Linked DNA regions of Diceros bicornis minor. The protein of the gene in region 3 interacts with the protein of the main gene of each other region in a pairwise test. Links are inferred from orthologs where the notes say so. Each region holds a gene or a part of one and is shown on either strand. Other genes may lie near its edges. The genes, in order: FAM131C, keratin-associated protein 26-1, GRN and FAM76B.

What was found.
Region 1: the proteins of GRN (region 3) and FAM131C interact in binary tests that used the Homo sapiens proteins (3 or more experiments, as listed by UniProt). The link is inferred for Diceros bicornis minor from reciprocal best matches to the Homo sapiens genes GRN and FAM131C.
Region 2: the proteins of GRN (region 3) and keratin-associated protein 26-1 interact in binary tests that used the Homo sapiens proteins (3 or more experiments, as listed by UniProt). The two-hybrid records come from large-scale screens. The link is inferred for Diceros bicornis minor from reciprocal best matches to the Homo sapiens genes GRN and KRTAP26-1.
Region 4: the proteins of GRN (region 3) and FAM76B interact in binary tests that used the Homo sapiens proteins (3 or more experiments, as listed by UniProt). The link is inferred for Diceros bicornis minor from reciprocal best matches to the Homo sapiens genes GRN and FAM76B.

Annotation. Positions count from the first base shown.
Region 1 is NC_080752.1:34,029,750-34,037,604, forward strand, and holds the start of FAM131C (protein FAM131C), read right to left. Parts: upstream 3,023-7,855; 5' UTR 2,776-3,022; coding exon 2,754-2,775; intron 1-2,753.
Region 2 is NC_080766.1:31,087,015-31,092,389, forward strand, and holds keratin-associated protein 26-1, read right to left. Parts: upstream 1,302-5,375; 5' UTR 1,235-1,301; coding exon 659-1,234; 3' UTR 522-658; downstream 1-521. UniProt on the Homo sapiens protein: In the hair cortex, hair keratin intermediate filaments are embedded in an interfilamentous matrix, consisting of hair keratin-associated proteins (KRTAP), which are essential for the formation of a rigid and resistant hair shaft through their extensive disulfide bond cross-linking with abundant cysteine residues of hair keratins.
Region 3 is NC_080757.1:42,918,906-42,926,449, forward strand, and holds the start of GRN (progranulin), read left to right. Parts: upstream 1-4,540; 5' UTR 4,541-4,611; intron 4,612-6,268; 5' UTR 6,269-6,409; intron 6,410-7,259; 5' UTR 7,260-7,266; coding exon 7,267-7,404; intron 7,405-7,528; coding exon 7,529-7,544. UniProt on the Homo sapiens protein: Secreted protein that acts as a key regulator of lysosomal function and as a growth factor involved in inflammation, wound healing and cell proliferation. Regulates protein trafficking to lysosomes, and also the activity of lysosomal enzymes.
Region 4 is NC_080746.1:38,219,408-38,227,086, reverse strand, and holds the start of FAM76B (protein FAM76B), read right to left. Parts: upstream 3,021-7,679; 5' UTR 2,929-3,020; coding exon 2,842-2,928; intron 2,017-2,841; coding exon 1,952-2,016; intron 814-1,951; coding exon 759-813; intron 1-758. Other genes in the region: CEP57 (centrosomal protein of 57 kDa), read left to right, coding at 4,152-4,196. UniProt on the Homo sapiens protein: Negatively regulates the NF-kappa-B-mediated inflammatory pathway by preventing the translocation of HNRNPA2B1 from the nucleus to the cytoplasm.

The DNA.
Region 1 (7,855 bases), on a different chromosome or scaffold from region 3:
CTGATCAGAGGGCTTTACATGGATTAGGTCATTTAATCCCCTCCCAGCAACCCTAGGACATCAATACTGGCATTACTCCCATTTTAGAGATTAGAACACTGAGATACATACACAAAGTTACATTACTTCCTGAGGTCTCAGAGGCAGAGAATGGTGGAGCAGGGATGCGAACCTGGGCTGGCCGGCTCCAGGCTGCACTCCTGATCTCTCTGGCCTGGCACGGAGAAGCAACTGCTGCCCGATGCTGGCATGGGCTGGCTCTCCCAGGTGTGGCCTGGACCTGGGGTTTGAGGTTTGGCTGGGGTGACCTCAGCTGCATGCAGGCTCCGGGCTCCATATAGGCATCAGCATGAGGCTCCAACCCCTGGCCTGGCTGCAGGCTGCGTCCCTGGCCCAAGGACACGCGTGGACTAAGGGGGCTGCTATTAGCAGTTGGTGCAGGTGTGGAGGCCAGGTGTGGGGCTCAGAAGCTCACGGAAGCCTGCAGCTGGGGAGGAGCAGGACAGGAGCTGGCACCCGGGCTGAGGGCGGGCTGTGCCGGGCAGAGGCCGAGGGCCCAGGCTCTGGAGTCCGCGAGACTGGGTTCCAGTCCCGCCTCTGCTATTTCTTAGCCATGTGGCCCCGCCAAGTCACTCAACTCCCCTCTGCTCAGTTTCCCCATTTGTACAATGGGGACTGTGATAGTATGTACCCCAAATTAACTAGTTGTGCCCAAAAGGTTCCAACCAGTACCTGGTAAGCCATAAGTACGCTGAGACTATTAGTGACAGAGGGGTGGACGGCCTCCACTCGGGGGTTCACGGGACGACGGTGTCCTCTGCTCAAGCAGCCCTATACCTTCATCTTTATCTCATTTCTCTGCATGCACATTAAGCTCTAAGTGGCCCTACCCTCTCAGGAGGGAGACAAGGTTAGAATATACAACCAGATCTGGAGGTGGCACTCGGGAGCCCAAGCCACAGAAGGAAGGGTGGAGAACGCCCGTCTTGGGTGGTGTGACCTCAAACAGGCATGGCAGAGGGTGCCAGCACTGGGTGGGGGTTCAGAGGACCTGGGCCCCACCCCAGTCCTGACACCACCTCGCAGTGTGACCTTGGTGGGCTTCTCTTCCTCCCTGGCCTCTGCACTGTGCTCAGCGGGTCTGCAGCTCACAGGCAAGTTCATGAGGGGCTGGGCCCCCAGTTCCTGGCATGGGATGACTAAGTGATGGGGAAGGGACACAGTCACCAAGGAAACACCAGATCCCAGATCCCCAACACCCGGAGCCTGCCCAGAGCCTTCGGGGTTTCTGGAGACACACTGAGAGCCTGTCTGTCCTAAAGAACTCTAAACACTTCACTCTTGAAACTCCCTTCCCCTCTGGCTGGGCTGCAGGCCTCACGAGAGCAGGCGCTGTGCTGGGCTCATCGCCGCTGGAAGCCCAGAGCCTACACCGTGCCTGGCACACAGTAGGTGTCATGCTAATATCAGCTTATGAATGAGTAAGTGAATGAACCTCACACAGTCTAGCCTCCACCCACAATCCCAGCCCTGACACCCTCCTAAGACATGTTGAGCCACGTACCTGAATGTCCCACATGGACCGGTGAGCAGAGCCCCTTAGAGGCCAGAGGATGGGCAGGTGTGTGTGGGGGGGATGTTGTGCTCCTTCATCAACACCTCCCAGGGCAAGGCCCCCTCCAGGGCCTGCCCAGCTCCTCCCAAAGACCTGTTCATTCCTCTATACCTGAATAAGCTATTGGGGGAGACAGGTGGGGTAGCAGGCCCCAAGGCCCTGAGGTTGGGTCGGTGGGTTTAGCCTCAGCCCAATGTCCCAGTCACCTCCACCCCCAGCCCTGCCCCGCATCCCACTCTGGGGTGAAGAGACAGGTGGGAGAACAGCCCAGCCAACCTCTTCTAAAATGTTGCCCAGTGGCCTGTTGGATCCACCTGCCCATCCCCGAGGCTCTGTGTAAGACTCCCCCGCCACCCTCCAGGGCAGCTCACTCCAGCTCCCGGGCATCACCCTGGGGACAGGGGTGGGGCTTGGCACAGGACAAGAGCAGAGTGTGCCAGGTCAGGGCGGCTTTTAAATCACAGAGACAGAGAGAAAGGCCCAGGGCTTACTGGGAACATCAGCTGTCTCTCTCCCTTCCTACCCCCTGACCTCAGATGGCGATGGGGATGAGGAGTTGGGGATAAGGGTGGGGGAAGGGGAACTTTCTTTATAACCTGTTCACCTCCATTAAGCCCTTCCTGCCAATGGGGTTCAGGGACTCTGAAGACAGGGGCATGGGGTAAGAGGAGGGAATGAGCTGGTGGGGGGTGGGGGAGCGTTGAGCTAGTGAGGCCTGTGTCTTGAGGGGGTGTGAATCTGTGTTCTGGTGCCCCCGACGTCCCGCCAGAGACGCCAAGGGCAACCAGAAACCTCCTTCCCTTCCAAGGCACACGCACGGCAGGGGGTGTGTGGCTGTTGGGAAAGAAGGGACTCTGTTTCATGCCACCAGCTGGGGTGTGGTTCCAAGCGGGTCTGGGGATGCGGTGACCTCGCTGCGCTCTCTCTCCAAGCAGCACCCCGTCTCCCGCGCCCTGTGCCCCTCGGGGCACCGCGTCCCCTGGGGCTCGGCGGGCGTGGGGTGGGGTGCGGCTTAGTCCGGGAGGGGCGGGTCGCTCCCCTACCCCTCTAGTTTCCTCAGAGCGGTCGAGAGGACGTGCGCGCGTCCCGGGCGCGGGGACCCCGGCCACCGCCCCCCCCAGGCCGGCGGCCCCCTCACCTCGCGACACGCAGGAGCCCATCACGGGGCCGCGGGGCCGGGCCGCTGCGCCTCGGGTGCGTCGGGCCGCTGGGCGCTCATGTCTCCGCGGGCTGGGGCTCAGGTGCGCGCGGGCGCAGCGGGCGGAGGGGCGCGCGGAGGAGCGGGGAAGGGGCTGCGGCTCCGCTCGCTCGGCCGCCACCACCGCCGCGCCCGGCTCTTCGCGCCGCCGCCTCCCGCGCCGCGCTCGCTCCTGCTCCTGCTCCTGCTCCTGCTCTGCCAGCCGCGGGCGGCACGGCGGGCGGGGGCCCCCGGGGACCGCGCGCCCCGAGCCCCGAGTGCCCTGCCCCTGCCCCCTGCGTGGCCGCCAGCCCCGCGCACCTGTTGCGGCAGCCCGGGCGGGGGGTGCAAGGGAGTGGGGGGGACAGGGGGTGGGGTGGCGGGGAGGGCAGAAGGTGGGGAGGGCAATTTCCGGCCCTCAGGCCTCCCGCGCCACCTGGTGACAGGGGCTGAAGGTCAGGGAAGGGGGCGGTGGGGACGGGGAGATTCCGGCATTTAGGCACAAAGTACATAACGTTAACTCAACCACCACGACCGGACACCCGGCTGAGCGCAGTAACAATAGTTCCACTGCGCCCATTTTGCAGAGGCTCATGGAAGTCAGATGCCTGCCTGAGGTCCCTTAGCTGTGAGGGACAGCGACTTTGGACCGTCAGCTCCTCATTTGGGGGACGCTGGCCCGGGGTAGAGTACGGAGGGTGGAGATAGTGTACTAGTGGCCTCGCGCTGGACAGGAGTCTCCCGTAGCACCTGAAGGGGGTCGACGGCCTCTCTGGGCCTATCCAGGGCAAGGTAAACTGAGGCACGGGCCTTTCCTCAGCCCGGGTCTCCTGTCTAATGGAGCGACAGTGGCCGGCTCTAATCACTCACCCTCAGTCTCACACACACACGTACCTACAAACACTCTCACACGCGTACACACCCACACATGCCAACTTGCACACCCACACACTTGTACACACTCACACACACTAGCACACACCCACAGACTCATATGTATACACGCTCACATTTACACACCCTCCCCCACCAGCGCCTTAGCAAACCTTCCCTCCGGGGCCCTCACTTTCACCTGCTTGGTCTCACTCCATCCTTACACCTACCTGTGCCCCAGGTGGGCGCGTGTCACTGTGTCCCTTTCACAGGTGAGGAAGCCAGGTTCACTGGTCCCTTCAAACTCCTGGTGACGGCCGGGCAAGGTTTGGAAGGCTGGATGAGGTTTGAGGCAGGGGCGTGGGGTAGAGCTGGAGGCCTCCAGCAGGGCAGGATCTGGGCCTGGTGGGACTGCCGGGGGCGGGGTGGGGGACAGGGCTGGGGGTGGGTGCTGACCGCTTTCTCTTTCTCCAGGCCTGGTCACCTCTCTGGAGTCAAGTCTGGGTGGAGAGTGGCCCTGGCCACTGGTGTCAGCAGATCTGGTGTGAGTGTGGGCTCAGCTCACACAGGCTGTGTGACTCGGGGCAAGTTGATTCACCTCTCTGAGGCTCAGTTTTTTTATCTGTTAACCCAGGGTAAAAATCTCACCTCCTGGGGTTGCTGTAAGGATTAATGAGATAATATGTGCAAAATGACCAGCACATAGTACATACTTAACTTACGGCTAATGATAATTGATAGTGACGGTGAACACAGGTAGGAAGTATTATTACCTCCCCACAGCTTCCCTACACCCACAGGAAGCCTAAAGAACCGCCATTCAGTGGACGTGTATGAAGCACCTACTATGCGCCACTGCGAACAAGACAGACATGCTAGTCCTGGAGTCAGTGCTGTGTCTGGTCAGGGTGCTCAGACACCCCCATGCCCCGCCCATCTCAGACCTGTCCCCCCCGCCCCCCCCCCCCCGTCTGGCCTGTGGGGATAGCTCTGAAGGGACAGTCTGTGATCACCATGGATGCCCTGGTGCCTTGCACAGTGTCAGCTGTGTGCCTGCCCTTGTGTGGAAACAGGAAGACGAGTCTGCCTGTGGCCAGGCTCTGGGGGCCTGTCCTGTGTGGCCCGGGGTTGTGGCAGCAGAAGTGTCCTTCCTCTTTCCGTGGTGGAGTGACTGGCTCTGGCCTGGAGGGAGGGCTCTGACTCACCATGACGCAGGAAGCTTGGTCACAGCTGCTGCTGCTCCCAGCTGGCAGCCTGGCAGCTCTGGGGGCAGAGGGGATGGGGAGGGGGACCCCTGCAGAGAGGACAGGGCAGCTCACAGGGGAAAGGATGCCTGAGGAGTCTACTGTGTCCCCTTCAGCTTAAGACAGGGACAGGTGGACGAGGCTGGGCAGCGGCCCCACACGGGGTCCCTTGCTCACCAGCTCAGAGAGATGGCTGGGCGAGGTGGGGTGGTTCTGGCTGTCCCAGCCTCCAGCATTCATGCTGGTCAGTTCCACACTGAATCAATCCTCTCATTGTAGAGATTGGCTCTCAGAGAGGGGCAGGGGCTTGCCCAAGGTCACACAGCAAATTGATGGCAGAATGGGGACGAGAACCCAGGTCTCCTGCCTGTCAGCCCAGCCCTGGCACTAACCTGAGACTGGACCATGTGAGGGTGGGCAGCTCCCTGTTGCATGCCCACATTCACCTTCCCTGTCCTTGGAATTCTGCTGAAGCTGATGGTTCCCAGACTCCCAGACAGCTCTAAGATATGTGGCTGTCCTTCCCCAGGGGCAGGCTGTCCTTTCTCAGCTCAGCCCACAGCCCATCTGCCCTGTGACCTCCCATTCCCCTCCCCCAGCACCCTCCTCCCCATCCATCCACTGGGGGGAGGAGAGAGGAGGCTGCTGCTGGGTGAGGGGACCAGGGGAGAGAGTGCCCTTCACACCCCGAACCTCATTCGCCTGTCATGGTTTTGGGGATCCGGGCAGAGTCCCCACTCCTGTGGCTGCCCTACTTGTTCTGTTCAACAACGGACGTTTACTGGCCCCGGGTGCCCAGCCCTGGGCTGGGCCCTGGAGCATGGAGAGCAGATGATGCAGGGTTTGGTCAGGGAAAGATTGATCAACGGGAGCCGTTCAGTGATGAGTCAGACCCAGTCCCTGCCCAGGCGGTCCTGGGAGGGGGACGGCACTGCACGAGGGCAGCCGTGTGCATCAATAGCTCGGGTCAGAGTGGACACTGGTGCACCCCCACGCCAGCCAAGTGTGAGGGGAGAGTTGCTTCTGCCAAGGGTTGTGGGGATGGCTTCAAGGCGACGGTGACCCTGCGATGGTTTTTTTTTTTTGTGTGAGGAAGATCAGCCCCGAGCTAACATCCTCCGTGCTAATCCTCCTCTTTTTGCTGAGGAAGACCGGCTCTGAGCTAACATCTATTGCCAATCCTCCTCCTTTTTTTCCCCAAAGCCCCAGTAGATAGTTGTATGTCATAGTTTCACATCCTTCTAGTTGCTGTATGTGGGACGCGGCCTCAGCATGGCGGGAGAAGCGGTGCGTCGGTGCGCGCCCGGGATCCGAACCCTGGGCCGCCAGTAACGGAGCGCACGCACTTAACCACGGGGCCGGCCTGCGATGGGGTTTTGAAGGTTGAATAGGACGTTGGCAGGCAGAGATGCTGGAGGGCTCTGTGTGCACCAGGGTATGGAGGGAGGGATGCTTGAGGTACTGGGGGACTGGCATATATGATGTCTGGGGGACCAGAGGGAGAGGATGAGACTTCAGACTGGGGTTTCCCACCTCGTGCCTCAAACATCTCCTCAGTATTGGTTTTCTCAGGAAAGGCAGAGCTGGATAAGCAGTAAGGGAACAGAATTGGAAGCCAGCCAGATCTGGGTTTGACTCCTGTGCCCAGAACAATTTGTAGTAGATGCTCAATAAGTGTTTGTTGACTGAATGCAAGAAAATGAGACTTGTCCAGGGTCACACATCTAGAAAGCGGTTATAGGCAGGACTGACTGATTCAACCTTTCATTCATCCAGCAAATGCTTATTGAGCATCACTATATGCCCAGCACTATGTGGTGCTGAGATTACAGCGTGAATGAGAGAGATGAGGCCCCTGTTCACTGGAGGAGGGAGAATAGTCCTCATGGGGGAGGTGGGCATTCATCCAGTAACGACCCAGGTGAATTGAGAGTCACAGCCCTGGGATTGCTGAGAAAGATCTATTGAGAGCATAGAAGAGAAGGACTCAATGTGGTGTCGAGCGTGGAGGGAGCGTCCAGGAGAAGCGACAGTGAATGAGTCCACAGCTCAAGTACGAGTGGGACGTGGCTTAGCAGAGATAACGTTGCATGGGCCACCTTAGAGGTGGAGGAAGGGACCAACTCCCAGGAGGAAGAGAGGGCCATGGTGGCTGGAGCACGGGGGATGAGAGGGAGGCGGTGGCAGGAGCGAGCACCTATATGGGATCTGGCCTTTATCCAAAGAGCAGGGGGAAGCCCCATCCTCTGTTTTCTTCTCTGCCAACCAGCTTCTTTCCAGTCACTCTCGGGTGGGGTCGAGGCCTGAATGAAGCTCCTCGTACAGTTCCTTGTTTCTCTGGAGGCCCAGCGCTGTCTGCGAAGCCTGGGAAAGAAGGCCACAGGCTGACCACAGAATGTGCCCACTCTCAGCTCCAGGCTCGGGATGGGGGCTTCTAGCTGGAGTGAGGTGTCGGGTCGGAGTCCCCTCCGCCTCTCCCCAGGCAATGAGCTAGACTAGGTGGGACAGGGAGAGAGAGAAGGGTAAGCCATAGTCTGATGGGGGAGACACAGCCTCTGTGCTGGGCACTGGGGACACTGGGATGAGACCAGCCCCTGCCCTGGAAGCTTCCGGCCCGGATAGTAAACAGGTGCCCCAAGTTCGTCTCTAAAATGCCTGGCCCAGGCCTGGTCCACGGGGGCTGCTTCACGACAAGATCCCTTTCTCAGGGTTGAGGCTGGGACCCTGACTCCTGAGTCTCAGGATCTCTGCAGGTAGGAGGCCCTCTCCCCTCAGATGCTTTTCCTGAGCTGTCAATGTTATGCAGAAGGTGGCCACCAGGGGGCAGCACGAGACAGCACAATTCTTGACTGCTTTCATTTTCCTTCCTCTGTTTGGCGACTGACCCAGAAAGTACCACGCTGGCAACTCAGACTCAGCCACAATTCAAGGTTGTGCCTCATGCGC
Region 2 (5,375 bases), on a different chromosome or scaffold from region 3:
AGACAATGAAGGAAGCTGATGTCATGGTAAGGGGTTTGTTTTTTTTATTTTGTGGGAAAAGATCATAGGAAGCCATCAAACGCTTAAGCAGGCCTGAAATATGGCTCAGTTTGTGATTAGAAAGGACATTCTGGTGGAAGTATGTTCACTGGAAGACAGAGATAAGGAGATCATTCCTAATCTCGCCTTTTCAAAATAACTTCCACCAAGAACATTTGGGGTCTCTCAAGTACGTAGGAGGCGAGATCTAGAAAGCAGCTCAAAGAATAAGCCATCAAGCCATACCCCTATTGTCAGATAAGAACATATGTTTGAGTGTCCCAAGTCCTAGTTACTTATTTTGCAAGAAGTTGAGGTTGGTCATTTCTCCGTTAAAATGAAGAAATAAAAGACAAATTGAAGAACCAGAATCTTAATTCTGATTTGATCTCATTTATTACAGCATAAACCAAAGAAATTCTTCCCACACCCAAGCAATATGAATAACATTGTAAACCAAATAATTTGATGTCAGAGAGAGATGAAAAAAAGAGTTAAAAATGTGAAAAGAGCAGCTTGCATTAGATCAGGCACAGTAAAACCAAGAAAATGCAGTCACTACTAGGAAAGAAGCAAAAGTCCATGGAGTTGGAATTTTTGCCTTGGATCTTCAGCATGATTATAAACTGGAACAAGGAGGGTACTGGCCTCCCAGTGGAGAGCAAGATGGATGACAAGTGCTGAACACATGGGTCAGAGGTCGGTATCCAATGGAGAGAGGATGCAGAGGTCTGAGGCAGCTGGACACGACGCTAAGGGGTTGAGGACCACAGGGCAAACAACCCAAGGGGCGGCATCCGTAAGGGAGGAGGCGCAGGGGTCGGCAGCTGCTGGACACATACCTCGGAGGTCTACAAGATGCTGGGAGGTAGGAGCTAGAGACGTAAGAAGCAGCCGGAAGAAAAGTGGTTCCTTGGCAGGGTCCGGACACGTAGTAAGCAGTGGAGGGGCAGTGAGAAGTTTCCAAGTTGCTGGGCTCACAGTTGGCTGGCTGGCAGCTGGTTGGTTCACTGCAGGTCTCTTGACAGTTGTCCAGGAGCCAGGTGTGGTCTTGATGGCTGCTGGGCAAGCAGAGGACATCTCCAGAGCTCACATTTGTAGAGCAGAGGGAAATGGAGGAGGTGAGAGGAATATGACACAGATTTCTGAGGGATCCCAAGCTGTCGCTTCCAGAGCAGTAGTTGTGGCAAGACATGGTGAGGTGCCGAGAGCAGGCTGGGGTTGATTGGAAAGAAGCGAGTGTCTCAAGTTTCGCTGTGCCCCTCGTTTGGCTTGATCCCTTATATATCCCTGGAAGGTGATGATCGTGTATACAGACTCTCTTCTTCCTTGTTGTGTGAGGCTGCCTCAGAACTCTTCATTATAGCCCGGAAGTGGTGCTCCCACCTCTCATAAAACTGGATGTTCCTGGCAAGGCCTTCCATCATTTCTACAGAGCAGAGTGACTGAATTTTAATAGGATCTCTCCTTCTTAAATTATCCAACCCAAACAGATACTTTTGAAGGTCATTCACGTATTCCAATTATAACCACCTCTGCCTAAACATTCTTAGAATGCCTCTCTTGGATTTGTCTTCAAAAGTTGTAGAATACTTCTTTGAAACAATGACAAGTTAGCTCTCTTTGAGAGGAAATTCTATTCTTTTAGGAAATTGTCGAAAAAAGAAACTTAAAAGCAAGTATGTTGTAAAAGAATGTAAAAAATCCTATAACCTATATGGTTTGGGGCAGAAAGAGTTTAAAAGTAGTACAAAATGGAAAATGTCAATGCACCCAAATTTGTACTTTGTTTTATTGTTGAATCCTGGTAGAAAGTGACTTCCCACCAAAATATCTTCATTTTAGAAAATCAAGCCCATTTTCTTCATTTCAATAAATAAATAAACTGAGTCAAACTGAAAGCTTATTTGATGTTTAAAGTATTCTTAATACAGATAAATACATTGGGCTCAGTTAAAATTATACATCCTTCTGTGACAAAAGCAAATAAAACCACTTAAAGAAAGTTGAACAAATGACATTTTTCATAGTTATTATAGGCTATGTATTTCATGGTTACTCACGTCCCAACTGAAAACTACTATTCTTGGGAAAAAAAGGGACATAATGATTAAGACGTGGACGTGGATGTGGTTCTGCTTCTTCCATTGGTTCTCATATCAATTTCCAGAGAGGAGTTTCTAAACTGCTTTACATGAGCAATAGCATCAGAATAAATGTAAAGTTTTCCTAAGTATGAGTACTTGGAAGGTAATTTGGGGATATATTTTCTGGTAAAAACTGGTTTAGAAAACATGGTTGCATTTAGCCTCAATCTTCTCACTGTGTTTTTCATCTACCAACATATCTAGTGGCTCCAATGGCTATTTTAATGGAAATTTTAATTATCTGCTGGATCTGATTTCCAATGCCCTTTAGCTAGAAATTCAACGGAAATCACAGCACTTTCTTCTATTTTAATGTTTAACGAAAACGCCCACATGGATTGAGTCTCCCTCTGTCCAGGAGCAGAATCTTTGAAATAGAAGATTGGTTTCTCTACAAGCCAATATAGAACTATTTTACTACCAAGGATAGAAATATGAAAAGAACGTGATACAGTCTCTGAGGGCCTGTACTGACAGGATGAAATTATCTCAGTATTTTAGGTCAGGGAACAATACCCTTTGATGATTTGTACCTGATGTGTTTGAGGAGTCCCCCCAACCCCAATCCCCACTTCCCCAGCTTTGTCACCTGGTACTCTTGGTACACATTGCTTGAGTCTTCTTGTGATATCCTGGAGGCCTCAGCTAAATGGCGTTAGTAATAGGTACAGCTATATTTAACTGAATGCTTATCAGATTTATATGTTGATGTTCCTTGTGCCTGCTCTTCTCTAACATAAGCAAGAGCCCAATACCTGCATCATTAGTACATCAATATATTTGTGTGTGTGTGTGTATTGTTTATGTTATGTATTCATTATGTATAATGAATGTTTTTCCATGAAGAGAAGGGATGTAGAATATGAGGAAACTGATCTTCATTTAGCGTCTACTCTGGGCAACACCTTGCAGTGCGGGTACCCACATGTGCAATGTCATTTTATCCTCACAACTCTTTACAGTAAATTTTACTATTTCAAGTATTCATGAGAAAACTTGAGATGAAGAAATTTACAGTAATTGAAATGAAGAAAAATATTTGAACAAAAGGGTTTCAAACATTTGAACATTTGCTTGGGGGTCCTTAACCCGCAAACAGTTTTTTGTCCCATTATCTGATATGACATTATATAGAGATATGTTGATACCATCATTTACTAACTATGTGCCCCTGGGCAATTTTCATAATTACTCTGATCCCCAGTCCCTATCAGTATTATTTTATGGAACAATGGGTATATTAGTAATGTCTAGTATCATTTTTAGGATACATTGAGATATAAGAAAAAGTTAAATGTGTACTGCAAAACACTATACCAGAATAATTTATTTTCTTGCTTTGGCATCCTTAATCCATTCTAAAGAGTACCACCTTGGGTTTAATTCCTTTAGAGCGCCCTACAAGACTTGCATTTTTTTGTTGTTGTGGGTGGGTAACACAGCAAAAATATCCATGGAATTTCAGAAAATAGAGTGCCCTGAATGTAAGTTGTACCTTAACATAACAAATGTTGAACTGATGTTATTTGATAGTGACCGAGTCACTAAAAGGGAAGAGCTCATGTAGGCATAACAGCAGGTACGTCATTAGCAGGCTCCTATAAACTACAGGTTTCAAGCTCTTCTGATGTAAGAGCTAGAGGTAGACTAAAGAACTGGGCATCCTGTGTGCTCCTCCAGATTTACCCACTTTGTTACTGTTTCTTCAATGAATTATGGGTCCTTACCTGTCTTACTGTAGAGAAGCAATCCTGAATTTCTCTCTCTTAGACGTAAAGAATCCTCAGAGCATTGCAACAATAAAGGTATGTCAATAAATGACATACCTTGCATTCATTCGTTCAACAAATATTTGTTGAGCATCTTGTATATGCAAAACATTATGATAGATGCTTGCAATAATACCAAGATACCATTGATTTCTGCTGCCAGACACATCCAATCTTGTATATATGATAAGACAAGTACACAATTCATGTCAGTGCTTACTAAGTTCTATAAATGGTGTACAGAAAAGAGCAAATGTTGCTCATTGGCTTCACCTAAAATTGGCATTTGATATTGATTTTGAAGGATAAGAGAAAATGGTAGAGGGTTTGGGAAAGACAAAGACACTTCAGGCTGTAGCAAAAGGTATAAAGGCAGAAAAAATGACGACAGTGCTTTCAGTGAAGGGTTCTTAGACGCAAGTTGTAGTAACTAAACCTAGATTCACACGCTGAATCTAATCCAATCATCAAGGAAGTAGTTAAGATTTTGTTCTATAGGTGTGGTGATCCAATAACTGATTTCAAGAAGAGAGTGCTGTGATTAAATTGCAGCATAGATTGGACAGAGTGAAAATTTGTTGTAAGGCTTTTCTTCCTTGATCACTAAAATTATGTCTTTTCATCCATTTTCCCTTTTCTGTTATCACTGCCATCATTCAAGTTGGATTTTGTTCCCCTTTGGTGAACAAATACATTTCTCACTGCCATCTTGCCTCCTATTGTCTTCTCTTTAGCTTGAATACTGCATTTAGATTAATACTTCTAGAATTAATTTTATCGTATGACTCTCTTACTCAAAAATGTTGATAACTCCCCTTTGTCCACAGAGAATTGTCCAAACACTTGATTAGCCCTCCTCTGCTTCCCAATAGAGATTCTCTTCTCTTTTTGGGTTGTCTGTTCGTGTCTCCAATTACTCCACATCCATCCTCATTTTACATCATCTCCTCATTCATCCTATTCTTCCTCTCCTTTGGAATAATTCTTTCATTTTAACTATCATTCAAACCTCAGCTAAATTAGCCCCTTCTTTGTAAATACATTCCTACCAATCTAAATCTCTCCAGCTTTAAATTTGTATATTTATCATTACCTATTTCACACACACACACACTCCTTTGCTTTGCAAGCAAAATGTTCTTTCTCTATGTGTCTTATTTCCTGATTATATTACAGAACTCTTATTAGCTACTGTTTACAGAATCCTTATTATGTACTAGACACGGTTCTATGTATTTTACATGTATTAATTGATTTAATCCTCACAGCATCCCTATTTGAGTAGGCGTGATCATTATTCTCAATACATGTGAGGAAACTTAGTCGATCCTTAGTAAATATTTGATGACTAATATCATGGCATTCACAAAATATAACTTAGGTTTTCTTTATCAAATAAAAATTGACCTTTACTTAGTCA
Region 3 (7,544 bases):
CCTGTGTTTTACCTGGCAATGCAAGATCCTGGGGGGAGATAGCCTCTGTCCTGGGGTAGCTGTGACTCTTCTATGTGGACAGAACAGTAACTCTGAATGAAGAAAACACTGAGGGGTGATTGGAAGAAACAGGGAGAGGCTGAGAAAAGTGGAAGACAGGATAGAGAAGGGAGCTGCCCAACCCCTTTATCCAGACCATCACCTCTGAAAGCAGCCCTGGGGCTGACTGGAGGAACCTCTTAGCCAGAGGGACATATCCAGGGGTCTCTCCGTGCCAGGCTCCTGAGTGGGACCTCCTGTCAATTACGGTGCCTCAATCCAGCACAAGCCTGGTATCTGAGGTCCAGTTCAGCTGGGGCTGCAGCAGGAATAGAAATGAACAAGGAAAAACATATTTATAACTTCTTAAGCAAGGAGGGAAAAAAAATGCAGAAGCCACAAAGGAAAAAATTGATTGCTAGATTTCCGATAACATAACAACACAGCTTCTGACCGCAAAAGATACCATAAATAAAGATAAAAGACAAATGACAGATTGGAAAGAAATATCTGCACCATATGTAATATCCAGAATATATAAAGAGATCTCATAGTCCAACAAGAAAAAGAAAAACACTGTAGAAAAGTGAACAAAGGATAATGTGATGGTTAGATTTACGTGTCAACTTGGAGGGTGTTTTTTGATGAGATTAACATTTAAATCAGTGAATTTTGGCTAAAGCAAATTGCCCTCCATAATGTGGGTGGGCCTCATTCAATCAGTTGAAGGCCTGAATAGAACAAAAAGACTGGCCTCTCCAAGCAAGAGGAAATTCTCCAGCAACTGCTTTTAGACTTCATCTGCACGATCAGACTCTCCTGCGCCTCCGGCCTGCTGGCTCACATTGCAGATTTTGAACTTGCTGGCTTCCATTGTCACGTGACTCAATTCTTTTCAATAAATCTCTTTCTATATACACATCAATTGGTTCTGTTTCTCTGGAGAACCCTGACTAACACAGATAAGAACAGGCAATTCACAGAAGAAATACATATGCAGAATAAGCATAGGCAAAAATGCTCAACTTCCCTAGAGGTCAAGGGAATGCAGATAAAACAACCAGGAAATATCTTCTGTCATTAGATAAGCAAAAAAAATTTTTTAACTGGCGTATCCAATGTTGGTGAGTATATGGGAAATAAGTTTCCCAAATAGTGTGACTGGGAATGTAAACTGGAAAAATTTTCAAGACTGGAGAGGAGGTCCTCACTGAGCACCAGTTTCCTCATTGCATAGAAAGGGGGTTGAGCTAGATGAGGGGCATTAACATTTCAAATGTGCATACCCTTTACCCAGCAGTGTTACTTTTACAAATTTAACTCCCACATGTACACTCAAAGACATGTTCACAAATATTCATTGTATAATTGTTTTTGCAGTGCAAAAAATTGGAAACACATAAAAGTCCATTAAATGAGACGGGTTATGGCCAGCCCCAATGGTGTAGTGGTTAAAGTTCTGCGCTCTCTGCCTTGGAGGCCCGGGTTCATTTCCCAGTCTCGAAACCACACCACCTGCCTGTTAGTTGCCAGGCTGTGGCAGCGGCTCACAAAGAAGAACTAGAAGGACTTATAACTAGGATATACAACCATGTACTGGGGCACTGGGGAGAAGAAAAAAAATGAGACTGGTTAAGTAAACTACATAACATCTATAGCATGGAACACTTGGCAACTGTCAAAAAGAAACTGATAAATAAATTAAAAGACATCCCATGTTCATGGATAGGAAGACTTAATATTGTTAAGATGGCAATACACCCCAAATTGATCTACAGATTCAGTGCATTCCCTATCAAAACCTCAGCTGTCTTTGCAGAAACTCATCCTAAAATTTGCATAGAAATTTGAGAGGCACAGAATAGCCAAAATGATCTTGAAAAAGAAGTTGGAGGACTCCCACTTCTGTCAATTTCAAAACTTGCCAAGCAGCTATAGTAATCAAGACAGTGTGGTACTGGCATAAGGGCAGACAAATAGATCAATGGAATAGAACTAAGAGTCCAGAAATAAACCCTCACATTTACAGTCAATTGATTATATCAAAATTAAAAATCACAAGGCCTGGCCAAGGGGGCTGGGAGGGCTTAGGGAACGGGGCAAATGAGGATAGACACTTTGATGTCAAATCTCTTTGTGACTCTGGAAGTTTGTTTCTTTTCAGTCTTTCCTATTCACAAAATGATACTCCCTCCTTAAAAGCAAAAAGCAGAGGGAGAGAGATTCCTGAATTGGAGGGTTTAAGGACGCTGGAACATTTCTTGAGGAATGTGGGAGATGTTCTGCAGTCCTCGTGGGAACTGTACCCTCTCCACTGAAGTGGAGGTTCCCTGTATCTAGTGTGAGAAGCTGTTTAGTAACTATATTCCACATTTCCTTGCCATAGTGATCAGAGTAACTGCATATGATTCAAGTTCTTCTGAATGCTCAGGTTCATACTTTGACTATTAACTACTGTCCTTTAAGAGTAATGCTGGTAAGGCCCATTGAGTCTTCCAAAACTGTTTCCCCCTATACTCAGTGTCCCCGGGATGTTGGGTTTCTAAGTTCTTCAGTCTGCTTTTTACAATTTTTCCTATTAAATGCTTTCAATCCTTGCTAAACTCAAAGTGATTGCTTCTAGAAACTTCCACCCATACATCCCCTGATCTTTCTATAATCTACTTTTACTGGGAAATCAGATGACAACGTTTATTTAAAATATATGAAATAAGAGAAAAGAGGCTCTGTGGGAGGAAAACTTTGAGTTCTTTCATGGAGAAAGTTTCTGATCCTTTAGAGAGGGTTTCTCAACCTCAGCACTACTGACATTTTGGGCAGAATAATCTTTGTTGTGGGGGCTGTCCTGTGCACTATAGGAAGTTTAGCAGCATCCCTGGCCTCTGTCCACTAGATGCACCTCCCCCCAGTAGTGACAACCTGGAACATCTCCATACACTGCCAAATGTCCCTGGTGGGCAAATCACCTCTTTAAGGATTTTGTGATACTTGTTTCAGTCACTCTAGTTTTTTTCTTTTTCTGTGTGTATTTTTTTTCTTGTTCTGTGTAGTTCTGATTAATAGGTACATTTATTGATCTGCCTAACATTTCATGAAAAGTGTGTGTGCGCGCGCGCGCGCGCGCGCGCGCGCGTGCATATGAGCTTCGTCAATAGAAGCATAAGCTGTACCTTCTTGCCTCGGGATACAGAGGAAAGAAAACATGCACAAATATTACTAGCCTGCAGAATAGTCCTGATTCTCGGCAGGAGCCTTATCCACTCTCTGGACCTTCTCTGGCCCCAGGCTGAGCACTGCTTCCACTCAATTCCTCAGCCCTGCCACTGCTTCCCTACCCAGACTCCCACCACCCCTGAGCGTGGCTATTTGTTCCCTACCCCAGCCTCACTCTCAGCGCTCTCCATCTACTCTGCATAACCAACACTCCCCTTCCTTCCCAGGCACCAGGCTTTCTCTGGGCCTCTCCTCTCTCCCCGTGCATCTCCTATCACTCATCTCGGCCTGGGCCAGGCCCTCTGGCACTGAGCAGTCTGCCTCCTGTTGCTGGCTAATCTGTTCTGTGTGGTACATTTTCTCTCCTCACCCGACCTGTCAATTCCTGGAAGGCAGGGCCGACTGAAACTAGGAAGCCACTTCCACTATGCACCCACCCCAGCCCAGCCTTGAGCCAGACACACAGCAGCTCCTCAAGTCCACTACACTGAACTTGGCATTCAATCCCTGCCCAAGGCTGCCCTTCCCATCTGGTTTCCTAACGCTCCTCCCATCACCCCCTGTCCAGCCACTTCTCCAACCTCTCCCCACCTGCCAGTTAAAATCCTCCCAGACTCAGCTCAATAAGGTGCCCCCAAGGTGGAACGAAATCTCTTCTTCCCCGCCTAGAGCCAACCTACTACCTCTTCCCATACACATCCATAGCACTTGGCACACGCCCTTGTACCTTAAATTAGATTTAATCTGAGCCTGTCTTCCATTCTCCACCCACCCACACCCTGCTGCGAGCACCTCGAGGAAAGTGCCTGAGGGCTGTTCATCCTTGCCCTCACAACTCTCCTTCCATCCTCTTTGGGGCCTGGCCGGCCAGCATTTAATCTGAGTTTGTTGAAGAGAACAGAAACAGGATGCGCAAATGTCCCAAATCCAGAAGCGGACATCCTGTAAACGCCCTTGAACGCACTCTCTAAGGGGCAGCTCCCTTGGCTGTCAATGTCCCCAGACAGACGCTACTCCATCTCGGGCAAACTCTACCAGGCGCCCACAGAAGGCGGGGAGGCGGGCACCCCCATCCCGGCGGAGCAGGCTAGGGCATCACATGCTTCTCCAATCACATGATCCCTGGAAACAGGGAGTGACGAGAGAGAAACGAAGGGAGGGAGGACAGCGAATTGAGTAGGAAAGAAGCACCGCCTTCCAGCCTAGCCCCGCCTCTAAGCAGGCGCGTAGCCAATGGTAGCGCGACACCCCGGGCCGGCTGGCCAATGGCAACTGAGGTGGGAGGGCCATTGCGCTGCGAGGCCCAAGTCCGTGAGCTCCCGGGCTCCTGCTATCCAGGGAGCGCCGACCCTGACGCAGGTAGGGCGGGCGGCGGCGCCCACCTCTCGCTTGCTCCTTCCCAGGGGCCCGCCCAGGGAGACATGGAAGCTTAAGGTTCCTCCGGAGTTTCAGCCAGGAGATAAGGGAAGAGTCGCTTAGAGAGTTTGGGGGATTTGCGATGCACTGGAGGGAGTTTTATGGGGGGTGGTAGTAAGCAGTAATTGCAGTGACCCCCACTAGAAGGGAGCTCTCTCCCCTCCAGCATCCCCGGAAGCTGCAGCCGCTTCCTCAAAGCAGGGACCACTCCATTCTTGAGCCGGTTCCTCCCCCGTGGGCAGGTGCTGGTGGTGGTGGGTAGTCCCCGCGGCAGCTGGGAGCGAGAGAGACGCCCACCCCTGGTCCCGGAGCTCAGAGGGCTGGGAGTGGGACTTGAGACCCTGGCCTCCTCAAAGGTAGCAGGGGCTTGGGAGTGGTGACTGAACCCCTGGGTTGTGTCTGGCTCTCCCTTACTTCCTCTCGTGGGGGGTGGGACAAGCTGACTTCCGCCTCTCCCTGCCACTTTTCCCTGCTCACTCGCAGTTGGGTTGGCTCACTTTTTGGGAATCTCTCTCCTCCTGGCAATCGGAGTTGGGGGGTGCCACCTAGTGGAAGATGACGGAGGTGGGGGCTTGAAGAGGCTCCTGTCGTCGCTCTCTACTGGGGCAAGGTGGGGTGGGGGTGAGAGAGGCCTCCACTCAGAACCCTGTTGAGAGGAATTAGGCCTCTCCTCCTCCATCCCTGGTCCTGTGTGTGCATGTGCGGGCATGCGTATTCAGTAGATGCATACACTATACTCCCTAACCTCAGGATACCCAGGAAGGAAAATATACATACATAAATCACTAGGGTGCCGAATAGTCCGAGGTCTGTGCAGACACGCATCGCTTCTTGCCTAAGCCAGGGCAGTGAGACAGCCTGTGGAGGGTCGAGGTTGGACTCCCAAGAAGTGGGTGGGCCGGCTGTGTATGCCTTGCCTGTGAGCTGTGGGCATAGAGGAGAGGGTGAATGGGGCTGTGGCCCAGGACTGTTCTTCTTCATCCTTACCTGGCCGCGAGATGGCTTCCTGGTGATGGTCTTTGAGCTGGGGAGGGGACCCTGAGGAAAGCCAGGCGAGGGAGAGGGGATGTGAGGGCCTGGGCCAGTGCGATTCCCTGCCACACACTGTGTGCTGTGTCCACACACAGACTCGGTGGGGAACTGAGGCCCGGAGATAGGGAGCAACTTTTGAGGCGCTCTCGGTCAGTGGTGGCAATTCTAGGACGAGGACCCAAGTGCAGTATCCAGGCAGCCCCTGCACTCCCCATGTCTGTCCTGCCTGGTCCACCTGCCCAGGAAATGCCTCTGTCACCTTCCTCTGCTTGGACCCCAGGCCTCTTCCCTCCTGGGGTTTGGGGTCCATTCCCGGGCACTGTCCATCATGCCACTTGTGAGGTGAACCCAGGTCCAATATGCTCTGGAGCCATCAAAGCTTGTCATCTCCATGACTTGATATGTGACATGAGCATGTTACTTAACATCTCTGAGCCTCAGTTTCCTCCTTTGAAAAGTAAAGGTAATAATTACTACTTTGGATGGTTGTTGCAAAGAATAAAGAAAATAGAGTGTTGTAACTGGCTCCCAAGGGGTTCAATAAACATATTTGGTTTTGCCCCTCTAGGCAGCGTGACATCCCCTGGACCTGCCCTATTCAACCAGCAGGGTGGTGGCACTTGGGGCAAGAGTTGTAGGAAGTGAGAGGCTGCTCCCCCCCCCCGGAGAGACTGAGGCTCGGTTCCTTCTGACTGGGATCTGCAGTCAGGTGGGCACATGTGGTCTGTCTCTACCTGTGGCTGAGTTTCGGCTCCAGGGTAGGGGGAGACGCAGGGGTAAGAGGGTGGTATCTTTGGGGAGTCTGAAAGGGCCTGGTGGTGTTGGGGGTCCTTAGAACACAGGTGTCTCAAAGGCTGACCCAGCCTCTGTGTCCCCTTCCCTGGGTGGGGAGGGGACAGTCAGTGGGTGGGCTGTGGCTGGCCTCTGGGGAAGGCAGCTGAGACTCCACTGGCCACTGCACTTCCCTTTTCACAACTTTCTCAACCCTATGGTTTCCCATGTCATCATGTGACCTCCCCTCCCCCGCCAGCAGGCCTTAGCAGGGTGCAGGTGTGAGCACAGTATTGATTGAGGAGGCATCTGAAGGGGCTGGCTGCGGAAGTGGAATCCTGGCTTTTCTTCCGGGGTGGGGGACTCCCTCCTTGCACCCTAGCCCTGTCCTCCTATGGCTACTGATGCCTTCCCCACCCCCCACAGGTGGCCCACATCCCCACAGATCAGACCCACAAAACTCATAAATCTTCCTATCACGTGCCCACATCTCTACACACTCACCCACAGAGACTCAGGTGTTAAGCCACATGGTGGGGACAGAGATTCACACGTGTACTCGTCAGCATTCATGCTCATGGGTGTACCTGCGCTGGTGCACGTGTGACACACACACAGGACATATGTAGGAAGCTGAGTCTCAGGCCCCACACTTTCTTGCTGCCTGGACAAGGAGTTGCTGGGGAGGCTCAAGTAGCCCTGGGCCTGGGGCTGGGGAGTGACTGGCCCCAGAGTCAAGGGTGGCATGGGCTTAAGCTGGTTTCCAAAGGCCTCTTGTTACTTTGCAGGCAGACCATGTGGACGCTGGTGAGCTGGGTGGCCTTAGTGGCAGGGCTGGTGGCTGGAACACAGTGCCCAGATGGTCAGCTCTGCCCTGTGGCCTGCTGCCTGGACCCAGGAGGAGCCAGCTACAGCTGTTGCAATCCTGTTCTGGTGAGTGCCCTTCAGCCCACGCCAGAGCTTGTATCATGGGATTTCCCAAAGGGGCATCTTGGATTGGCCAGAGGAGGGGGACAGGCTTGGGTCCTTCAGTTTATCCTCTCCTCTCACTTCCCAGGACAAATGGCCCACAG
Region 4 (7,679 bases), on a different chromosome or scaffold from region 3:
TTCCTTTAATTGAGACATTTAAAAAAATTAAACATTTGCTGCATAAAATATACCCAGTGTACAAATATATTTCTGGATTAAGGAAACAGGCAAAAAATTTTTCTGTCAAGTATGTTGCCTTGTCGCATTCAATGACATTTATCATATTTCTATTCATTTACTAACATTTATTTCTAGAGCTATGAAACTTTTTGTTATTCTATTGAATAGTTTAATGATCATGAGAAACATTATTTACGATTTGCATATCATGTTATATAATACAAAAGCTACACGTGAAAAGGGTCTCAAAGAATGAAAATAAATGTATGCGTTTATAGAAAAGTTTGATGTATCCAGTATATGGAGGAATAAAGTTTTACTAATTTAATATTCTGGTTAGCTTAATTACTATATCATTTATTCAAAAAACATTTAGCAACTTATCATATACAGGTACAGATGATTCAAGAAATACATACTATAGGTGAGTTTTCAACTTAAAAATATTGGCACAAGCACACTCAACATAAACTATAACAAACATACCTTAATTTTCTTTGATGTTCAAATGACAATTCAGGATTTTATAGAGCCTTAAGGCCAGCACTTTGACTAATCATGACTATAATATACCAATAATTTCTTCCCTGAAATATTCTGGTATGTTGAAATATTTCAGAACATAGCAATACATATTTTTTAAAAGGTCCATCATTGTGAAAAAGATTAATTGACCGGTAACAATAAAATGAAATGAAAATGTAAGACATACTTACCGTGCCAAATTGCTTCACATTTTGAGCGCACTTCTTACAAATTGTATTAGTTTTGCTAAAAAGGAAATTGTATATAGATGATCAAATTTATGTAGCTTTCTGAGTAACTAGCACAATGTTGAACTAAAGCAAACAGTGAAAGAGAACAATTTGCTTTAGCAGTACTTAAAACTTACTCTAATATAGACCAAGGATTTTTTAGAAAATACAAACATAAGTATCTTTTAGGGTTGTATATTATCCAAATTTACTTTTCTTCCAATAGCTTAAGATAAATGTTTTTACATATTTTTATTTTTTACTTTTTGTTAAACAAAAACTCCTAATGTTTCCTATCTAGTTTCAAAATCTTCACACTTGCCACTATTTAGGTATAGCATTACATACCAGTGCCTACCTTACCTTCCACTGGGCCTTCTCCACTATATGATGTCCACACCTACTCATGAAGAAATCATTTGTTCTTGTCTTAGGCTACTCTCTTGTATGTGCTGTGATTCTCTAAGAATCACCCTGTTAAAACGTATTTGCTGGGGCCGGCCTGGTGGCGCAAGCGGTTAAGTGCGCGCGCTCTGCTGTGGCGGCCCGGGGTTCGCCGGTTCGGATCCCGGTCGCGCACCGACGCACTGCTTGTCAAGCCATGCTGTGGCGGCGTCCCATATAAAGTAGAGGAAGATGGGCATGGATGTTAGCCCAGGGCCAGTCTTCCTCAGGAAAAAGAGGAGAATTGGCAGATGTTAGCTCAGGGCCGATCATCCTCACAAAAAAAAAAAAAAAGTATGTGCTGTTCTTCCACTGGTAACAAGTTACTAGATTTCACCCGGGGAAGGTAGTTGGTAACACTCAAGACCTCTTTTCATGTCCAAGCCAGCACTAATGTTTTGCCATTTTTTTATAGCTTAATAGTAACTATCTATATTTGCATTTTTTTGTTAGCAAGGCTGTACATTTCTCAGGCGACAATTTATTCTTTATTTCCTCATGTGTAAACTGAAGTCTAGCTGTAAAATAACCATTAAATTTTTGTCAACATTCTCTCTCTCATCATGCATAAAAAGTTTACAACTTAAAATCTAAAAAACTAAACCATTTTTTTAAAAAAACTTGAATACAAACATGGGATTACAACCCCCAAGTATTCCTTACAGACAATACTTTGTCCTTAACAATCAAAAACTGTTCAGTATACAAACCTCTCTTGTTGAAATTCTGATCTGCAGTAAGTACATTTTACAATAGGATGTGCAATCCGACATTCCTGTAATAAAACAATATATTAGTCAGTATCTATCTCAAAGTCCTAAATTTCACTTTTCTAGTAGAAAATTATTACCCAACCTAGTCAAATGTCTAAAACAGCTATAAAATCTGTCCCCCGATGTAGACAATTGAGTGACTTATGTAAGTGGCCAATTACAGCACAATTCCTTGGGGAAGGCATAGGTGTCTTTGTCTTTATTAGATGTGGGGGGTATGCTGCAGATAAATTAAGCAAGCTGTCAGGGCCGATTTCAAGAACTGGTTAAATGTGAAACTACTTATTATTTTGCACCGTTGCTCACAGACAGCATCCCGGCTTTAATGGGATGGGAGGAGCTCCAAATCATAGAGCATTCTGTTCCCAAGCCAGTCGCTTCGCTTTCCTGGACAGGGAAGAAGGATGCCATCAGCTTTGCGGCTTCAGGTTCCTAGCAAGAAAGTGCAAAAACCGTCCCCCGCCTCCCGATGGAAGGAGAGGACAGACCAGGCAGAAAAACGAGATGAAAACATCTCCACCCCAGGGTCTCTGCAGCATAGACAGGTGGCTGCTTCACTCAGCCCCACCCCGGAGACCCCTGAACGTTATTGGGGCCCGGGCCCCTCCTGGGCCGCCTGGAAGACAGCAGTATTCTGTCTTCCTCCCAGGGGCCTTTCGCAGCTGATGCCCAGGTCCTCGGAAAAAGGGGTCCCCGGGTGAGAAGGCGAAGGCTCCAAATCCCTAAGGCGCCGGCGAAGGGCTCAGCGCTGCAGTGCAGCGGGCACCCAGCACCTTCGGGCTACGGCCGAGGAAACCCCGCCCGCCCGCCGCCCAGCGCCCACGGACCTTGCAGAGCTGCTGGCCCTGGGAGAGCTCCTCGAAGGGATAGCGCTGGGTACACTTGGTGCAAGCGTACAGGGCCGAGGCCGCCATCCTGCTCAGTCTCCTCCTCCACCGCCGCCCGCTCCGAGGCGGGGCCCTACGGAGAACTCGGGCGCCGCAGCCGCCACCGCCGCCCGGGCCGCGGGCTCCTCCTCCTCCCCCCCCCCCCCGCCTCGCGCCCACCAGGGCCTTGCTGCGAGATCCCAGGGCCCTGCGGCCGACGCCGTCTCCCTCCGCCTCCACTTCCGCCCCAGCCCACCAAGTGACGCCGACCCAGCCGCTCCTGCTTAGGCCCCGATAGCGGCGGAGGGAGACGAAGCGGATAGTTCTTTGCGGTTTAGCTGCGCGGCAGCGGATCCGCTTCCTTCTCGGCCCCCTTCCCCATTCCTGATTGGCTGGGGAGAGTACTGCGTCTCTCGGTCGCTCCTCCCAATGCCTAACCCCGGCTACGCAGGGAGCTCCCACAAAGGGAGGAAGTCGCTGGCCAATAACAGCCCGACGCTCTCAGCGCGCGAAAGCCGCTTTAAACTCGCCCCGCCCAAAGGTCCCGGTCGCGGCCATTTCTAACAGCTAGTGACAGGTTTGGGTGAGAGCGCCCCAACCCAATTGGGCAAATGTTCACGAAGGTTTACTCTCTGACTCTACTCTTTTTCCCCTGACTTTTATTGGACCAAATCATTAAGCCCCTCCTAATTCTATTAGTTATTGGTCAAAAGGTAAGTACTTCACCTGGAGAGGCGTCCCCGAGTCAAGCTCACGCTCTCTCCGGCGTTAGTCCGAGAGAACCGATGGAGTGTTTGAAATTCGCATTCGCTTTTATCCTCTGTCAGTCATTCGATCCAATTGCCACCGGAGACAACTCAACCCCTCACCCATGTTTCCTCCTCGAGAAGGCCCGCCCCTTTGTAGAGTCCCCTCTGAGCCATCTAGTATTCTGCAGCGTTACCCGCGCCGCAGTCTCAGCTACGCGCTACCTTGTGACGTCACCGAGGGAAGAGGCGGGTTCTCTCCTACTCCCGGAAGACGTCCGTTTTTTTGATTGGCTGTTCAAGACGTCCTTTAGGGCGTGTCGCCCTTTCTGTGTCCGCTCTGAGCGTGGGCGTCCCTGTGGGGGTGTGTGGCTGGGGCTTCTGGACCTGGCACCAGCCACCTAGCCCCTTCCATCAGGGGTTCGGCTTAGGGTCGCCCCTGGCGGGCGGCTCTCGAATTTTGAAGAAAAGCACGAGAACTCGGACCGCTGCGGGGCTGCGGAGGTCCGCTGGGCAGGCAGGAAGATGGCGGCAGCGTCGGTCTCTGCGACTTCTGGTTCTCAGTTCTCGGTAAGAAGCGGTTGACGTTCGAATAAGCCCCAGGTCGGCCCTAGCGCCTCTTTGCTTTTCCTCCCGCTTTAGAGAGCTCTTGGGCCAGCGTCTCACCCCATCCTGGGGAACGGCAGGCGACGCTGAGGTCGCCCCGTTCTACCCTGACGTCCAGTGCTTCTCTGTCGAGGCTCCTGTCTTCCATTGAAACAGGCCTGGCCCGGCTCTGTCCCCCATGCCCCCTTCACCTTTCGGCTTGGCAGCCCAGGTTGCCAAACATTGCCAGGGCTCTCTGGGATGGCTGTACCCACACGCTGGCCTGTGAAAACCTTTCTCCTTTGGTCACGTGGGTGTAACGGCCGGTCTTGGAAACGCGCCGCGAACAGGTAGGCGCGCTAGTCGGCTTGCTTGGCAGCTGTGGCCGAGTCCGCAGCCTCTAGTGCATCCTCGTCGTTGCTTATGCTGATTCCTTTGCCTGCAGCTCCTCCCCCTCCCATCCTCCCAGTAACTTTGTTCTGTGCTTATCCTACCCAGAGCGCGCGCTTCCCACCTCCCACCTTGTTACTATGACTGCAGTGTGTAAATGCCGTTTTTGAGAGGCCACAGGGGGAAATGATCTTAAATACTGGTTTCCCCTCCACAAGGGTCATCAGCCAGTTCACTCACTAATAATTGGCGAATTGGAGTACCGAACGCTTAGCATTTTGGGAACCGCGGCGTTAGGAACAGATAGACAATAAATGTGAGGAGGCTGAAGTGAGAGCCATTATTTCTGTATTTAGCAGATGCTGAGTGCCTGGCACACTTGTAGACTCTAAGATTACGGAGTTGAATAGGATAGAATCCCTGCTCTGAAAGAGCAAAACACTGAAGAGAAACTACACGTAATTAGATTATTACACAGTACAGTTTTTAATACTACCATACTAGAATAACCTGGGCGACAGTGATTAGCAGTGCTTGGGTAGGCTAGAGACAGTTTCCTAGAAGGGAAGATGGAGCTACCTGGATGATGAAGGAATCGTAAATGCTTGTGGCAAGAACAGAAAAAGGAAGGAGACAAAAGCATCACAGGCATTTTGGGGCATGTGACAAGACAATAGGTGCTCTTAGGAAACTTGAAATAATTTGGAATGAGTAGAGGTAGTGTGGAAGTAGAGTTGGGCTAGATGAATTGTAAACGTAGGTAAAAACATGAAAAAAGGATAGTGAGGGAAGAAGACAGGAGAATATCAGGGTAAAGTTATGTCATAGAAGCTAACGGGGGAAAAAAGTTTAGGGCAAGCAGAGTCACCTAGGGGAAGACACACTTCTCCTCAGTTTCAGCTTTTGATGACTGTTGTCAGGATTTGTGATAATGAGGCCAGAAGTAACCTTCAGGGTTTCAGCAGAATGAGGGTAATAAGTTTGCAGAGAGTTTTGGGAAGAATAAGGACGAAGAATGAATGAAGCAATTGGAGTTGATTCAGGAATTAGGTCAGTAAAAGGGAAGATAAGAGAGACACTGTTAGACTGTTAGGAAGAAGTGTCACTAAGTAGGTGGGTGAGATTATCTGCGTAGGAGTTGTGATTAAACTTAATTGGGAGAAGAGGGCTTTTCACTGCTCTGAAAATGTAGCACTGGGAGACTGCTCAAGGAATACTCTTATGAGTGTTGAATTCAGCTGCACTCTACCAGTGACTATCTAATGGTCAACCCTTAGTCTTTGAGGTAGCCTGGACAGAGATCCCGTGGAGTGTTTAATAAGAAAGCATATATATTTTTATATGGTAAACTCAGCTTGAAAAGGATTCTAAATATCAAGGGTACACTAAGAATATCTAGGGCCCTTTACAAGTCAAAGTATAACAGCCTTCTTAATTAACTTGACCTGCTACATCAAAGTGTCTAATTTGGAAGTCACTATGTCTCAAAGTAAAAACGACTAAATTTTGTTTATCGGTGTATAAGATATGAGCCCGCTTAGATGCTTTAACTGTCCTGTGAGAAATAAGGCTGGCATTTCCAGCAGAATTAAAAAAGCACTTTAGCTTAACAAACAGCTGATTGTAAAATAAGACAACACAAAAAGAAGACAAGACAAAAAGACCTTTTAAAACTACAACATGAACTCAGAAGGCTATTCATATTCAGACTTCAGGGTTGTGAACTTTATCAATTAATATGTATTCAGCATGGAGCTAGCTGTAGTAAATAAAGGTGCTTTTACCAGGCAAGGATTTTTAACGGGTAGATTCACAAATAACATAGTTGTTAGGAAAGAGCTACCATGTAAATCTCAAATGTGGACAACATGGGAGTAGGTGATACATTCGAATGGCTTTTTTCAGTATTTCGCTGCAACAGCAGCAAGAAGAGTAACAACAGTGGGTAACATTTATTGTGCTATTGCTATGTATCAACTTCACTAGTGGAGAGCAGCAGGGAAACAACTATGATTGGGCATAATGATATTAAATAGAAGTACAGGCAGCACAGTGTTGAAAGAGAAGAATGTCTTTTCTGTCATTCCTTTTTTATTTTCCCAGTAACCATGGTCAACACCCTTCTGTCACTTTGGACTTAATGAGCTAATCTCATAAGTGGTCTCCCTGGCTTTTTAGCCAGACCCTTTAACCGACCTGCTCCATATATCTCTTAAAAATATTTTATGAATATATCATAGATTTTATAACATTAAATATATAAAAAATTTATTTTTGAGAATAATAAAAATGAATAACTTCATGCCCCTTTTTGCATCGTCCTACTTCTCTGTCTTGCTCTCTCACACACCACCATACATTTTGAGATTGTAATAGTATATGACACTCATATAGTACTGTCTGGCAGTCATTGTTTTAAATACTTTTCATATATTAACTCATGTAATCCTCACAATAATCTTATGAGATTGGCATCAGTATTTCCATTTTCAAATGAGCAAAGTGAGACAGAGAGGTTAAGTCAAGGTTACGCAACTAGTAAATAGCAGAGCCTCTTTTATATTTCTGTATAGTATAGTGTCTTGATGGCCTTTGGGGTTTTTAGGGTTTGTTCATTAGTTTGTGTGCCAGCTATTATAAACAATCCTGTTGTGATCATCCCTATATGTTCCACACGTGCAAAAATTTCTCTAGAGCAGCAGTTTTCAAAGAGTAGTCTTAAGACCTTAGGGGTCCCTGAGACCCTCCCAGGGGGTCTACAGTGTCCTTCCTTAGCCAGCTGCTTTGTGGGAGACCAGATTTCCTCGTATAGATCAACCAAAACATCATGTCTGATAGGTTGAATGCAGAAGCAAATGTAAGAATCCAGCGGCTTTTTTTAAAGCTAAGAATTAAAGTGATTTGCAAAAATGTAAGAGAATGCCACTCTTTTCACTAATTTTTTTGGATGATATAGTTATTTTTCACTCAAAAATTATATTTATGGTAACATCATGGGTTTATTATTTTTAAATTAGTAAATAAATTTTCTCAGTTTTAGTTTTTAATATGATAAACATCAATAGATATAACCAACAT